Elephas maximus indicus: one gene and its partner. The protein of the gene in region 1 binds, or shares a complex with, the protein of each later gene. Links are inferred from orthologs where the notes say so. Each region holds a gene or a part of one and is shown on either strand. Other genes may lie near its edges.

Evidence for each region.
Region 2: the proteins of EIF2B2 (region 1) and EIF2B1 are in contact, whole or in part, in a cryo-EM structure (PDB 7F64), measured with the Homo sapiens proteins. The link is inferred for Elephas maximus indicus from reciprocal best matches to the Homo sapiens genes EIF2B2 and EIF2B1. Residues at the interface, in NP_055054.1 of Homo sapiens: Glu107, Ser108, Leu109, His110, Leu112, Leu113, Thr114, Ser115, Asn242, Phe278, Asn280, Glu281, Glu282, Ser334, Tyr337, Arg338; in NP_001405.1 of Homo sapiens: Leu71, Arg74, Phe75, Leu78, Arg96, Leu99, Phe100, Arg103, Lys110, Thr117, Phe118, Lys120, Ser232, Phe235, Leu283, Asp287, Leu288, Val290, Thr292, Ser294, Ala295, Asp298, Glu299, Leu300, Lys302, Leu303.

What each region holds. Positions count from the first base shown.
Region 1 is NC_064828.1:87,718,014-87,725,820, forward strand, and holds the start of EIF2B2 (translation initiation factor eIF-2B subunit beta), read left to right. Parts: upstream 1-4,806; 5' UTR 4,807-4,916; coding exon 4,917-5,079; intron 5,080-5,202; coding exon 5,203-5,323; intron 5,324-5,449; coding exon 5,450-5,598; intron 5,599-6,457; coding exon 6,458-6,621; intron 6,622-7,269; coding exon 7,270-7,365; intron 7,366-7,807. UniProt on the Homo sapiens protein: Acts as a component of the translation initiation factor 2B (eIF2B) complex, which catalyzes the exchange of GDP for GTP on eukaryotic initiation factor 2 (eIF2) gamma subunit.
Region 2 is NC_064840.1:6,740,337-6,747,939, forward strand, and holds the start of EIF2B1 (translation initiation factor eIF-2B subunit alpha), read left to right. Parts: upstream 1-4,542; 5' UTR 4,543-4,689; coding exon 4,690-4,702; intron 4,703-5,761; coding exon 5,762-5,863; intron 5,864-7,603. Other genes in the region: GTF2H3 (general transcription factor IIH subunit 3), read right to left, coding at 1-105, 1,719-1,798, 4,413-4,425.

The DNA.
Region 1 (7,807 bases):
CACATGTCCCAAGTACATGAGACGAAGCCTTGCCATCCTTAATTCTAAGGAGCACTCTAGCTGTACTCCTTCCAAGACAAGTTTGTTCATTCTTTTGGCAGTCCATGGTATATTCAATATTCTTCACCAACACCATAATGCTGGCTTGGGTCAGGTGTACCTTAGTCCTCAAGTGATATCTTTGCTTTTTAACACTTTAAAGAGGTCTTTTGCAGCAGGTTTGCCCAATGCAATACATTGTTTAATTTCTTGACCATGGGTGTTGATTGTGGATTCAAGTAAAATGAAATCCTTAACAACTTCAATCTTTTCTCTGTTTATCATGATGTTGTTTATTGGTCCAGTTGTGAGAATTTTTGTTTTATGTTGAGGCATAATCCATACTGAAGCCTGTTGAATTCGATCTTTATCAGTAAGTGCTTCAAGTCTTCTTCATTTTCAGCAAGCAAGGTTGTCTTACCTGCATATGGTAGGTTGTTAATGCATCTTCCCCCAATCCTGATGCCCCGTTCTTCTTCATATAGTCCATCTTCTCAGACTATTTGCTCAGCATACAGATTGAATAAGTATGGTGAAAGGACACAACCCTGACACACACCTTTCCTGACTTTAAATCACATGGTATCCCCTTGTTCTGTTCCAACGACTGCCTCTTGGTCTATGTACAGGTTCCTTATGAGCACAATTAAGAGCTCTGGAATTCCCATTCTTTGCAATGTTACCTGTAGTTTGTTATGATCCATGCAATCAAATAAAACACAGCTAGACATCTTTCTGGTATTCTCTGCTTTCAGCCAAGATCCGACTGACATCAGCAATGATGTCCCTGTTTCCCTGTTCTCTTCCGAATCCTGCTTAAATTTCTGTCAGTTCCATGTCAATGTACTGCTGCAACCACTTTTGAATGATCTTCAGCCAAATTTTACTTGCATATGATATTGTTTGATAATGTCTACATTCTGTTGGATCACCTTTCTTTGGAATGGACACAAATATGGATCTCTTCCAATCAATTGGTCAAGCAGCCATCCTCCAAATTTCTTGGCACAGACAAGTGAGCACTTCTGCGCTGCATCCATTTGTTGAGACATCTCAGTTGGTATCCCGTCAATTCCTGGAGCCTTGTTTTTCGCCAATGCCTTCAGTGCAGCTTGGACTTCTCCCTTCACCACTATCAGTTCTTGATCATATACTAGCTCCTGAAATGGTTGAATGTCAACCAATTCTTTTTGGCACAATGACTCTGTGTATTCCTTCCATCTTCTTTTGATGCTTCCTGCACTGTTCAGCATTTTGCCCCTAGAATTCTTCACTATTGCAATTTGAGGCTTGAATTTTTTCTTCAGTTCTTTCAGCTTGAGAAATGCCAAGTGTGTTTTTCCCTTTTGGTTTTCTAACTCCAGGTCTTTGTGTATTTCACTATAATACTTTACTTTGTCTTCTCCAGACACTCTTTGAAACCTTCTGTTCAGCTCTTTTACTTCATCATTTCTTCCTTTCGCTTTAGCTATTCTACATTCAAGAAGAAGCTTCGGAGTCTCTTCTAACATCCAATTTGGTCTTTTCTTTCTTTCCTGTCTTTTTAATGACCTCTTGATTTCTTCATGTATAATGTTCTTGATGTCATTCCACGACTGGTCTGGTCTTCAATCATTAGTGTTCAACGCATCAAATTTATTCCCGAACGGTCTCTAAATTCAGTGGGATATACTCAAGGTCGTACTTTGCTCTCATGGACTTGTTCTAATTTTCTTCAGCTTCAACATGAGTTTGCATATGAGCAATTGATGATCTGTTCTGCAGTTGGCTCTTGGCCTTGTTCTGACTGATGATATTGAACTTTTCCATCATCTGTTTCCACAGATGTAGTCGGTTTCATTCCTGTGTATTCCAACTGGTGAGGTTCACATATGTAATCACTGTTTATGTTGGTGAAAAAAGCTATTTGCAATGAATAAGTCATCGGTCTTGCAAAATTCTATCATGTGATCTCCAGCATCGTTTCTATCACCAAAGCCATATTTTCCAACTACCAATCTTTGTTTCCAATTTTCACATTCTAATCACCAGTAATTATCAGTGCATTTCCATTGCATGTTCCATCGATTTCAGACTGCAAAAGTTGGTAAAAATCTTCAATTTCTTCATCTTTGGCCTTAGTGGTTGGTAAGTAAATTGGAATAATAGTCATATTAACTGGTCTTCCTTGTAGGTGTATGGATGTTATCCTATCACTGACAGTGTTGTACTTCAGGATAGATCTTGAAATGTTCTTTTCCACAATAAATGCTACACCATTCCTCTTCAATTTGTCATTCCCAGGATAGACCACATGACTGTCTGATTCAAAATGACCAATACCAGTCCATTTCAGCTCATTAATGCTGAGAATATCAATCTTTATGCATTCTATTTCATTTTTGACGACTTTCAATTTTCTCAGATTCATACTTTGTGCATTCAATGTTGCGATTATTAATGAAAGTTTGCCACTGTTTCTTCTCATTTTGAGTCATGCCACATCAGCAAATGAGGTCCTGAAAGCTTGACTTCATCCTCATTATTAAAGTCAACTCTACTTTGAGGAGGCAGCTCTTCCCATGTCATATTTTGAGTGTTTTCCAACCTGAGGGGCTCACCTTTCTGCACTATATCAGATAATGTGCCATTGCTTTTTTGTAAGGTTTCACTAGCCAGTTTTTTCAGAAGTAGGTCCTTCTTCCTAGTCTGTCTTAGTCTGGAAGCTCTGCTGAAACCTGTCTACCATATAACAGTATATAGTATATGATTTATTTCTCTGCGTTGACTTTGTATCCTGTGCCCCTGCTAAACTCACCTATTAGTTCTAGGAGTTTTTTTTGTTTGTTGTTTTTGGTGATTCCTTGAGTTTTTCTATGGAGGTAACCATGTCTTCTGTGAATAGGGACGGTTTTCTTTCTTTCTTTCCAGACTGTGTGTCTTTTATTTCTTTTCACTAGCTAGAACTTTTGCCATAATGTCAAATAGGAATGGTGAGCATGGATGTCTTTGCCTTGTTCCTGTTCTTGTTGTCGTTAGGTGCCATAGAGTCTGTTCTGACTCATAGTGACCACATAGAACAGAATAAAACTGCCCCATAGGGTTTCCAAGGAGCGGCTGGTGAATTCAAACTACTGACCTTTTGGTTAGCAGCCGAGTTCTTAAGCACTATGCCACCAGGGCTCCTGTTCTTAATCTTAGGGAAAAAGTATTCAGCCTTTCACCTTTAAGTATGATGTTAGGTGTAGAATTTTGTATATGCCCTTTATTGAGATGAGGAAATTCTCTTCTATTCCTAGTTTCCTGAGAATTTATATCATGGATGGTTGTTAAAATTTTGTCAAATGCTGTCTTCTGTATCAGCCGATATGATCATGTGCAGCTTTACTTCTTTAGACTGTTACTATGGTGGATTACACTGATTTTCAAATGTTGAATCAGCTTTGCATTCGTATGTTTAAAGTCCATTTGGTAATGATGTATTATTCTTTTTACATAATGATGCATTATTCTTTTTATGTATTTTACATATTACTCTATTCAATTTGCTAATAATGGGCTGAGGATTTGTGTGTCCGTGTTTGTAGTTTTCTTTTCTTGTACTATCTTTGTCTGCTTTTGGTACTGGCGTAATCTTTTTAAAAAGAGTCCTGGTGTGCAGTGGTTAAGTGTTTGACTGCTAACAGAAATGTTGGTTGGAACCCACCAGCTGCTCTGTGGAAGAAAGATGTGGCAGTCAAATTACAGCCTTGGAAGCCCTATAGGGCAGTTCTACTCTCTCCTACTGGGTCACTATGAGTTGGAATCGATTCCAAGGCACCCAACAAAAACAACGTAATCTGTTTGGAAGGCAACTTGTCAATTGTAACTTAAGTCTTTAAAAATTTGTGTGCCCAAGGATTCCACTTTTAAGAATTTATCTTAAGAAAATAGAGATTCCTACGACACAGACTTAGGATTCAGACCTAGATTTGAATATTAACCCATCACTTTACTAATTACTTAGATTCAGTGAGTCTGTTTCCTAATCCATAAAATGGGGATAAGAGAACCTACTTCACAGAGTTGCTGCATTAAAAGAGACAGTTCAGTGCCCACATCTAGTAAAGCTTGGAAAAAATGGCAGCTCTTAAGTACTATGTTATACTGCCCATCCTCTGTAGGACAAGTCTGTCCAAATCAGAAAACATCATCTTTGCCCCACATCAGCCCCCACTTTTCAGAATCAACTCGACGGCAACGGGTTTGATGTTTTGTTTTTTTGTCACTTTTTAGTGAGTAGTCTCCTCATTCCTGATTCCTCTGTTTTGTATTAGATGTACTAAGCGTCGGGGATATAAAGACAAAAAAGATACGGTTTCTGTCCTCAGAGAGCTGAATCTCTTAGAGACACACACACAAACTAACCAGTATCATGCATTATAACACTATAATGGGGCGTCTGCCCAAGTGGCAGTGGTCTTAGAACGCATAAAAGGTCGGTGTCAGGAGCTGGAGGGCCAGGAAGGAGGGCGGCAACTTCTCCTGCGTAGTCTCAGGGCGGGAGGTAGGGGGAGCTCAGAGTCTTGCTGTTCCCATAGCAACGGGACTTGTATTCTTCAGGCCTCACACGTCACCTTTGTTCAGCGTCTGTAAATAGCGCCTGAGGAGCCTGGAAAAGCCACTTCAGGCCCTCTGGTCCTGGGGTCGCGCAGATCCTTTGCTGTTACCGAACGAGTCCCGCATCTCTGATTGGCTCAGGAGGACGAGGGGCGGGAGCAGGCAGCTGGGGGCGTGGCCTTCGTTCCCCCAAACTCGAGTTCGTCTCCCAGAGCGGAAGCCGACCTCTCCCGCCCCGGAAGTGCAAGCTCTGGCGTCTTGCCGATGTGGATTTTGTGGGTGAGGGCGTCGCTTTCGAGATGCCAGGCGCCGCGGCGAAGGTCTCGGAGTTGTCCGAGAGGATCGAGAGCTTCGTGGAAACCCTGAAGCGGGGCGGCGGGCGGCGCAGCTCCGAGGACATGGCTCGGGAGACCCTAGGACTACTACGGCGGATCATCACAGACCACCCCTGGGGCAACGCGGGTGAGGCAGGCCTAGCCCCACCCGCGACCCTGCCCGTTTTCGATCGGATTCCTGAGGTTGAGGATCGCCTTGGCCTCAACGCGCTCTTGCTCGCTCGCTCACTCTCTCTCTCGTGCACCGTAGGGGAGCTGATGGAGCTAATCCGCAGAGAGGGCCAGAGAATGACAGCGGCGCAGCCCTCAGAGACTACAGTGGGCAACATGGTGCGGAGAGTGCTGAAGATCATTCGGGAGGAGTATGGCAGGTCAGACCCACGTCCCGGGCTCCGAGGTGGGCCCAGTGACGCCCCTCTCCCTGCTTGGAGCCGCCTGCTACCTCCCTAACTGCACCTCCTCTCCACCTCCATCTTTGGATCTTGTTGACCCCATAGACTCCACGGACGCAGCGATGAGAGCGATCAGCAGGAGTCCCTGCACAAGCTCTTGACATCCGGAGGCCTGAGTGAGGATTTCAGCTTCTATTATGCCCAACTCCAGTCCAATATCATCGAGGCAATTAATGAGCTGCTGGTGGAGCTGGGTAAGAGTTCTTTTGATCCCTAGGCAGACAGGACAGGTAGCCGGCAGGTGAGGGAACAGAAGACCCTGGAAGTTGTCCATCAACAGAGATGAGAAACAACCAGTCATCTGGTTCTCAGGTTTGTTCTTCATCCTTTATAAACTACAAATCCATTGCTGGCAGAGAGTTTTCTTAAGGTAGGGTTTTGTTCTCATTTTAAAGAAAATGAACTCCCTAAAACCACAGTTGGTAGACCCTCCTGCATTAAACTTCCTCCTGAATTGTTACACACCACCTCCATCCCTCTTACTTGCCTTTGTGACTCATGAAACCTGCAGATGTTCATTACAGAGTTCCTCCAGGGGAGAAAGAAGCTGGAGTTCTGTCTGTGCCCTAAGGTGCAGCTCCCAAATTCCTCCTGTTTTTCTTCCCTGGCCTCTACTTCAGGTGGAGGTGTTGTGGCCACCTTTTGGAAGAAGAGCTCTTTAAGGGGGAAGCTCTGTTTACCCTACCTTGGGCACTTGAGGATTTTCCAGACTCGATCGTTTCTTGCCTGAATTCATTGTCTTCAAAATCAGTTGCAAGTGTTGTCTGAACTGTCATGGCAGAGGTTTTGATGTGGAGGTGGTTGATGAGCAAAGGTGCTGCACGGAAAAAGGACAGGCTGAGAACTTGGGAGGCAGAAAACCCCAAAGAAGTGGGACTTTTAAGAAACTCTGATATTTTACTTGAAGTCCATTAACCCTGTGGTAGGTACCAGGGTCTGCTAGGTGGATAGTCTGTGTGAGGGGCAAACTGCCCTTTCCATATTCTGTCATGTCTGTCTGTGACCTGGCATGGCAATTTCATGTTTGCTTTGCAAAACTGGCTGTGTTTGCAGAAGGGACAACGGAGAACATTGCAGCCCAGGCTCTGGAGCATATCCACTCCAATGAGGTGATCATGACCATTGGCTACTCCCGAACAGTAGAGGCCTTCCTCAAAGAGGCTGCCCGAAAGCGGAAATTCCATGTCATTGTGGCAGAGTGTGCTCCTTTCTGCCAGGTAGGGAACTGCTGGAGTTGATAAGAAAAAGGAAATTGAGGCGGGACTAAAGGAGGGGTGGGTGGGGTCCATGCCAACTTTCAAATGATAAGCAAGACATTGAGACATTGACAAGATAGAGTGAAACAGTAAAAGGATTTCAAGTTGTTCATCCTGTGAACATCTTTAAACATTGGTTTAAGAAAGTTTGGTGAACTGCTGGGTCCAAGAAAAGATAAATACTGGTCCTTTTAGGAATCAAAATGGGATACATTAAGTTCGAGATGACTGATGTTTGGTCTAACCTCACTCAATCCCTAGGTAAATAATAGATCTCAAAAAAGAAAATAATATGTAAAGATGCAGGATGTTGTAAAATAACAAGTCAGGATCTATCCTGTCAGCTATTAGCTATGCCTGATTATGCAAGCAAGTAGCATTTCCAGTTTCGTGGCTGCTCTAGGGTATTAGACATTTATTAGCTTACCCTGGGCTCCCCTGCACCTTACCAGAGAATACTTAGGATAGGCAGAAAATGAGTTTGTCTGTTGGGAACTGTGTTCTGGATCTGCCCAGTATCACAGAAGTCCCCAGATCCAGTTACGTTTAAGAGCTCTTTCACTGTGTCTCACTCTTTCTCCCTGCATCAGCCTTTCCTTCCTTTTGCAGGGTCATGAAATGGCCATCAATTTGTCCAAAGCAGGTATTGAGACAACTGTCATGACTGATGCTGCCATTTTTGCTGTTATGTCAAGAGTCAACAAGGTAAGTATATTTGGAGTCCTTTATTTGTATCATCGTTCCTCACTTGTGGTAGTCTCTAAATTTGGTTAAAGTACTGAATAAAATGCAGTAGAACTAAAGCTAAGTGTGTCAACTGCGAAGGATTGGTGAGAAGCTTCCTACCCTATGCTCAGAGAGCCTGGCAGTGGTAGACGGCGAATGACAAAGGCTCCTGACTCCTCAGGAAGTGTGGTATATAGGTTTTCAGAAAAGACAGGGCTAAGAGCGGTAGGTATTGCAGTTTCCTTGTCCATACTTTGTTCATTCTTTTCTTGGGAACCTACTTTCAAGCTAGAACCTTTGGTACTGAGCCTAAAATCCCTTTCCTTCTTATGGCCTATGACCCCTTAGGACACCAGGACCTGAGCACTCAGCCTGTTGTGCCCTGTGGCCCCTTTAAGGCTTACCCCCAGGATGACTCACA
Region 2 (7,603 bases), on another chromosome or scaffold:
TTCGTGAATGTGACTTGCTATCACGGCAAGTTTGTTGGAACGATTCATGAATAAATGGGAATTTCCCAACACCATCACAGCATCTATGCATTTTGATAAAGTGAACTGTTGGAAAACCGAAGACATTTCAAAGATAGATTAGCGATCCAAATACGTATGTCAGGCCTTGAAATGACTAACAGGCAATCACAATTACTCATTGCTAAAAATGTGCTCAGGAGCTCCCCTCCTGCAAAGCCATTAGCAAAAACCCTTGAAAACTACAGTCCTCGTTTTACTTACGTCAGATATTCAGAACAATATCCCAAAAATATTTTTCGCGTAGCATTTAGAGAATAACAAATGTCTCATGTCTTCTGTGCAGGTATCACTAGCAAATTGTCGCTACACATGGAATAGATACTTAATACATACATGATACCGTATAATACATGATTACATTGGTGATTTCTAAAACTTTTCAAATCAGTCATCTGCTAAACATGCAGATATCCCTTCTCTCGTGGAGCTCACATTCTCACAATTGTAATGTTAACTGTCCAAGTATTTTTGGTGCATGCTTTTTATCAAGATGAGGAAGTTCCCTTCTATTCTTAGTTTGCTTTGGTGGCACAGTGGTTAAGCACTCAGCTGCGAACCGAAAGGTAAACAGCGCAAACCCACCAGCCACTCCTCGAGACAGTTATGTGCCTTCTGCTCCCATAAAGACTACAGCCTTGGAAACCCTATAGGGCCATTCTACTCTGTCCTATAGGGTCGCTATAAGTCGGAACTGTCTCGATGGCAAAGGATTTGGTTTGGGGTTTTTTTTTGGTCGTGGCAAGTAGTTCTTTGTATATATTACTGGATTTGATTTGCTAATTATTTTGAAGATTTTTTGCATCTATGCTCATGAGAGTTTTCTTTTTTTGTACTGTCTTTACCTGGTTTTGGTGTAAAGGTAATACTGATCTCATAAAATGAGTTTGGAAGTGTTCCTTCTTCTGTTTTCTGGAAAAGATTTCATGGAATTGGTGTTACTTCTTTAACTGTTTGGCAGAATTCTCCAGGGAAACTATCTGGGCCTGGAGATTTAACACCAATTCTACACGATCTCTTCCAAAAACAGAAGTTAAGAAAAAATCTAAAGCAAATAATAAAAATTAGAGCAGAATTAAATAGACAATAGAAAAACAATTGAAAGAGTTAACCAAAAAAAACCTATATACACAATCAATATATGAAATGTTCAGAAAAGACAACACAGACTCAAGCAGCAGGTCAGTGGCTGCCAGCAACTTGGGGGGCGGGGGACAGAGACTGACTGCACACAGACAGGGTGGAACTCTGCAGGAAGACAGAAATGTTCTAAAGAGGGATTCTGCTGGTGATCGATTACACAACTTTATGAATGTACTAAAAAAATCACTTGTACGTTATCATGGGGGAATTTTATGGTATGTAAATTATACCTTCATAAAGCTGTTTTATGGAAACCCTGGTGGCGTAGTGGTTAACTGCCACGGCTGCTAACCAAAGGGTTGGCAGTTCGAATCTGCCAGGCGCTCCATGGAAACTCTATGGAGCAGTCCTACTCTGTCCTATAAGGTCGTTGTGAGTCGGAATCGACTCAACGGCACTGGGTTTGGTTTTTGTAAAGCTGTTTTTTGTTACAAAGCAATATAAACACGTTCTCAGTTAAACCAGAATCATCCAAAGGCTTCCTTAAGCAGTCTTACCTGAGATTCTTTTAATGCTTGCTTTCCCCACCAAATTGGGTTGGTGTCAACTATGATCACTAGAAGATTCAATTCATCTTCTGAAAATGTTAACAACAACAAAAAAAAATACATTAGTCTCATGAGAGTGAATCACCGCTAACATTCCCCATTAGTACAATTTAGAGCAAGCACCAACACATGCTTTTATATGTTTATCATCCCACAGCCATATTAACAGAAGGCCAAATTCTTTTAAAGATTTAAAACTTAGTGGGTCCTGAGCACGCTCTCGCCTGCTTTCCATGTGATTGTACCTTCCCCCTTTCCTCCTCCAAGCCACTGCGTTCTTTCTTGTGTCACAGGAGTAAAAGGTCTGACAAATTCAAGGACCAAAAGCAATGTTACCTCTTTCTTCCCAAAGCCTTCCACAGGTCTTCCAGCAAGAGATCCTGACTCCCTCCTCTCAGGTGAGAGGGAATGCCAGCCTTCTCTGCACCAAGCACTGGCATATATAATCCCATAATCCTGTTTTATACTAAAAGCAACCCAACAAGGGACATATGAATGCTGTCTTTCATCAGTTATAAGCATTCCTTTTTCCTTTTATTTTTATATTTATGAATCCTGTCTTTCATCAATTACAAGGCATTCCTTTTTTTTTTTTCATTAAACTCAGGGTGGTGCCTTACTATTAAAATTGACAGCATGTTTTGTCTCTTCAGAGGTACATAAAATAACAGCATGTCATCTTAGATTACATGAAATACAGTATTCTCATTTTGCAAATAAGAGCAAGTTGCCCAAAGTCACATGTCCTGCTGGCAAGTGGCAAAGCCAAGACCTTGCTGTAAAGACAGATCTCCTTGACTCTAAAGACTGTAGTTTTTCATTGCCCCACAGCCTGACTCTGACCACTAGCTGCACCAATGGACACTCCTCTAATGACATTTAGCTCTCACTACCTCATGTTAGTTAGTTGTGTGCTTCTCATCTCTCTTCCCAGCCCTGCTCACTAAACTGTGGAGGCCTTAAAGAATGATTTTTGCTAGTCTTGGGACAAATGACGTAATAAGTGTAAATCACAAAGTGGCTAGCACAGAAAAAAAAGAAGCAGGGCTTTAATAACTGTCTCTCCCACAGGCCCTCACTTCTCTACCCATAAGCCCTCAAACCTTTACCTGTATTCCCCATCAGGCCCCACCTCACAATTCTCAGAACCGTTAGTTCTCTGATGTTACCAAGACAGCCTGAGAAAAAGAGAGTATGTTGCCTGTGTGGAGAGTTATGTGTATCAGTACATCCAAAATGTCCCTGTGAACGTCCTTTGGGTCTCGACCTCCTCATCTGTAAATAGGGACAACAAAGCCAGGTCTGCCCACTGCCCTGACAGGGAACACAAAAGAGAATCCCTGATGGAGCAGGAGAACAGTGGGATGCAGACCTCAAAAAGACCAGACTTATGGTCTAAGACTGGAGGGACCCCAGAGGTCATGGCCCCCAGACTCTCTGTTAGCCCAAGACTGGAATCATTCCCAAAGCCAACTCTTCAGACAAGGATTGGAGTGGACTATATAGACAAAATGATACTGGCGAGGGGTGAGCTTCTTGGCTCACGTAGACACGAGACCATGTGGGCATCTCCTGTCTGATGGCAAGATGAGAAAGCAGGGGGGACAGGAGTTGGGTGAATGGACATGGGGAATACAGGGTGGAGAGGAGGAGTGTGCTGTTATATTAGGGGGAGAGTGGCTAGGGTTACACAGCAAACTGTGTGTAAGTTTTTATATGAGAGACTGACTTGATTTGTAAACTTTCACTTAAAGCACAAGAAAAGAAAAGCCAGGTCTGCCCCCCTCAAAGGGATGTCGTGTATATTAAAACAGATAAGAGAAGCATGGACCATTTTTACACCCTCAGAATGGATCTTCCTATTTCTTCTCTTGCTCACACAGTCCATTTTCCACACAGCAAACTGATCTTTCAAAAATGTAAATTAGATCATAATATTTCTTAAGTATGCATCACACTTAAAGCTCCAGCTATGCGGCCCTGCATGATGCAGCACCTGGCAGCTCTCTGGTCTCATCCTCTTCTACTGTCCTTCTAGTTCAGTCTGCTCCAGCCATCCTGGCCTCCTTTTTCTTCCCTCAAGACATCATGCTTCACAGCTTGTAGTTTACTGTATGAATAAATGCCTCCCCACCTTCGCCATCACCAGGTTCCCCAGTTCTGTCTTCTCAGTAATGTGGCGTCTTGACCTGCCACAAGGCCTTTGCACTTACAATGCACTCCCCCAGGAACTTCGCATGGTCGACCCAAGTCTTAGTTTAAACATTACGATCTTCCCTGGACTGAAGTAGCTCTTGCTCCCTCCACTAAGCACAAGCTACCACATCATCCTATCATATTGTCTTCGTGGCTCTTGTCATCCCTTGAGATTATTTTTGTTTTCCTGCTCATTGTCTGTCTCGCCCACTAGAATGCAATGCCATGAGAGCAGAGACCTTGTCTATCATGGTCTCTGCTGTATCCTCAGCGCATAAAATAATGCCTAGCACACAGTACCCGCTCCACATTTACTGAGTGAACGAATGAATGAATGCATTCGCTACTCCTCTAAACACCAAATACGTCCCATCCAGCCGAAAAACTACACTCCATTTCGCCGGTCCTGGCCGGGCAGAGTCCGCCCAACCCCGGCGCAACTCTCACCGTCTGAGACCATGGCGGCCTCCGCGCAGAGCCAGCAGCAATCGGGCGACCGTCGGGAATCCGCGGACCGACTTCCGGCGCTGCCCAGTGACGTCGGGACAGGTTTGGACGGGGCCGCGCCGTACTCGTAGACACGCTCCCGGCGCGCCGGAAATGGGCTGCAGAACTGCGGCGCGCGCTGTCAGTCTCAGCGGCTTCGAGCCGGCACAGTCGCGGCATCTGTCGAGGCAGCGCGGGTGCTTCTGATCTTCCCGAGCTTCGCCGTCCGGAGCGCACCATGGACGAAAAGGGTAAAGTGGGGCGAGGCAGGCTGGGGCCACTGCGCCTAAAGCGGGTCGGGGTCTCCCATCTCGCACGCCCAGGCTGCACACGGAGAGAAGAGAGGTCGCTTTCCAAGCTCAGGCAGCTCTGCAGCGTGTCCTTCTTCTAGTAAAAGCTACATCTCCCTCGCTGCTCCTATAGGTGGGGGATGGGCCCTGAGAGTGTCCACAGGCACTGCCCTCCCCCGCGCGCTTCTTCCCATGTCCATTCTCCAAAAAAGTGAGACTTTGGACGAGCGTGCAGGCCTTCGAAGACTCGCCTTCTTCGTATGTGAAATAGCAATAAGACTCCCTGCCCTAGTGGATCTGTTACAATCTAAAAAGTAAGGCATAGCCGACATACTCCTCTAATATGGTTTTGAAGACATTTAAGTAAAAAACAAGGAGCAAGCTAATGTACAAAGTACCTATCATGTAAAAAAACAAAGGGTGGTGGAATTCTGCGTACACAGATGTGTATATGTGTGCGTGCGCTTGAATTAGCCAAGACTCTCCTTGAAAGGATGTAGAAGAAACTGATAATGGTGGTTGATTCTAAATCCTCTCAGGACTTGGGATTAAGGATAGGAGAATGACTTTTCACTATCATTTAGCAGAGCTTGAATTTTATACCATTGAACATGGACGGCCTTTTCAAAATGAGACAGGAAGAAAGCTTACGAACAGTAAAGTGGCGTCATTTCCGTTCCCATTAACATTTGTCGTCCCCCTGAAGTTCACTTACAGCCAAAACCTTGAAAAGAAAGTATTCCTTGTTTTGTTTCCTACTGTTGTTATCGTTAGGTGCTGTCGAGACGATTCCGACTCCTAGCGACCCTAAGTGACAGAGCAGAACTGCCCCATAGGGTTCCCAATGCCATTATCTTTAGGGAAGCGTATCACCAGGTCTTTCTCCTGTGGAGCTGCTGACTGGGTTTGGACCACTAACTTTTTGGTTACCAATTGAGTGCTTAACCACTGTGCCACCAGGGCTCCTTTTTCCTAAGGTTAATAGTCATTAACCATGTCTCTTTTTTTCTCCTTTCCCAGAGTTAATTGAATACTTCAAGTCTCAGATCAAAGAAGATCCTGACATGGCCTCAGCAGTGGCTGCCATCCGAACTTTGCTGGAGTTCTTAAAGAGAGATAAAGGTAGGAGAAGAGCATCCTCAAACATGCTGGGCCTTAGGAAAGTCTTCCAATAGCTGTTAGGAGAAGTGAAGAAAGTGAGAGATGTATGTCTGCCTACGTTAGGTCTTAGAGCTCCAAGCTCACATTCTTCTTCATTTAAGCGTTCCTTTTAACCTGTAGAGAGTCCTCAAGTTATCATCAAAGGGCTCCCCCCATTTCAATCTCTGAGTATTGACAATTTTATTTATTTCCAAATCTTTTTTTAAATTTTATTTGTTGTTGTTGAGAATATACATAACATACACCAATTCAACAGTTTCTGTATGTACACTTCAGTGACATTGGTTACATTCCTCAAGTTGTGCAGCCATTCTCACCCTCCTTTTTTGAATTGCTCCACCCCCATTACCATAAACTCACTGGCAAAGGGCCCCCCTTTTATAAGTGAAATATCCTTTCTGTGCGAGTAACTGCTGTATCAAGGTAACTGTAAAGTTTAAAATTTAGCAATACCTCAGCTTTACAAATGTTTATCGAACGTTTTCCCTGTGCCAGATTCTGTGCAGGTGCTAGAGAGAATGTCCTGGAATAAATTCTGGACTTAATGACATTAACTGTGATCTATTAATTCAGACATCCTAAATGTAAACACTTGGGTATTAAAAAAAACACACCAAACCCATTGCTGTCGAGTGGATTCTGACTCATAGCAACCCTACAGGACAGGGCAGAGCTGCCCCATAGGGTTTCCAGTAAGCACCTGGTGGATTTGAACTGCCAACCTTTTGGTTAACAGCCAAGCTCCTAACCATCATGCCACCCGGGTATCTACGTGGATGTAGCATGATATTAAAGAGCCCTCTAAAGGGCTGACCTAGAGACCGGTGTCTCTAAGACAGTCTCTAGTGTCTTCCCCTTGTCCTTACAATAACATGCAAAGCCCTGGGCCTCCACCACGTTGCACACCTCCTCTGCGTCTGCTACCTACTTCCTTCTCTGCTCCCCCTCATTGAGCTCTGCTTCAGTCGTGCTGGCACCTCTTTTTTCCTCAGGCCAAGTTTGTGCCCATCTCTGGGACTTTGCGTTGTTATAGTCTACGCCTGGTAACTTTCCCACCGGATCTTTATGGGGCTGGATCCTTCCTTAGTCTGGTCTCAGTTTAAATGGCCCCCATTCCAGGAGGCTACCCCTGTTGTTGTTGTTATTGTTAGCTGCCATGAGGTAAGTTCCAGCTCATAACAACCGTATGTACAACAGAATGAAAAACTGTCTGGTCCTGCTCCATCCTCACAATTGTTGCTGTGTTTAACCCCATTTTTGGAGCCACTGTATCCGTCCATCTCATGGAGGGTCTTCCTCTTTTTCGCTCACCCTCTTCTTTACCAAACATGATGTCTTTCTCCAGGGACTGGTCCCTCCTGATAACATGTCCAATGTACGTGAGACAAAATCTCACCATCCTGGCTTCTAAGGAGCATTCTGGCTGTACTTCTTCCGAGACAGATTTGTTCATTCTTTTGGCAGTCCGTGGTATAGTCAATATTCTTCAAGGACACCATAATTCAAATGCATCAATTTTTCTTCAGTCTTCCTTATTCATTGTCCAGCTTTCATGTGCATATGAAGCAAATGAAAATTCCATGGCTTGGGTCAGGGGCACCTTAGTCCTCAGAGTGACAGGTTTGCTTTTTAACACCTTAAAGAGCTGTTTTGCAATACATCGTTAATCGTAAAGCAGTGGCTGCACCTTTCTCATTCTGC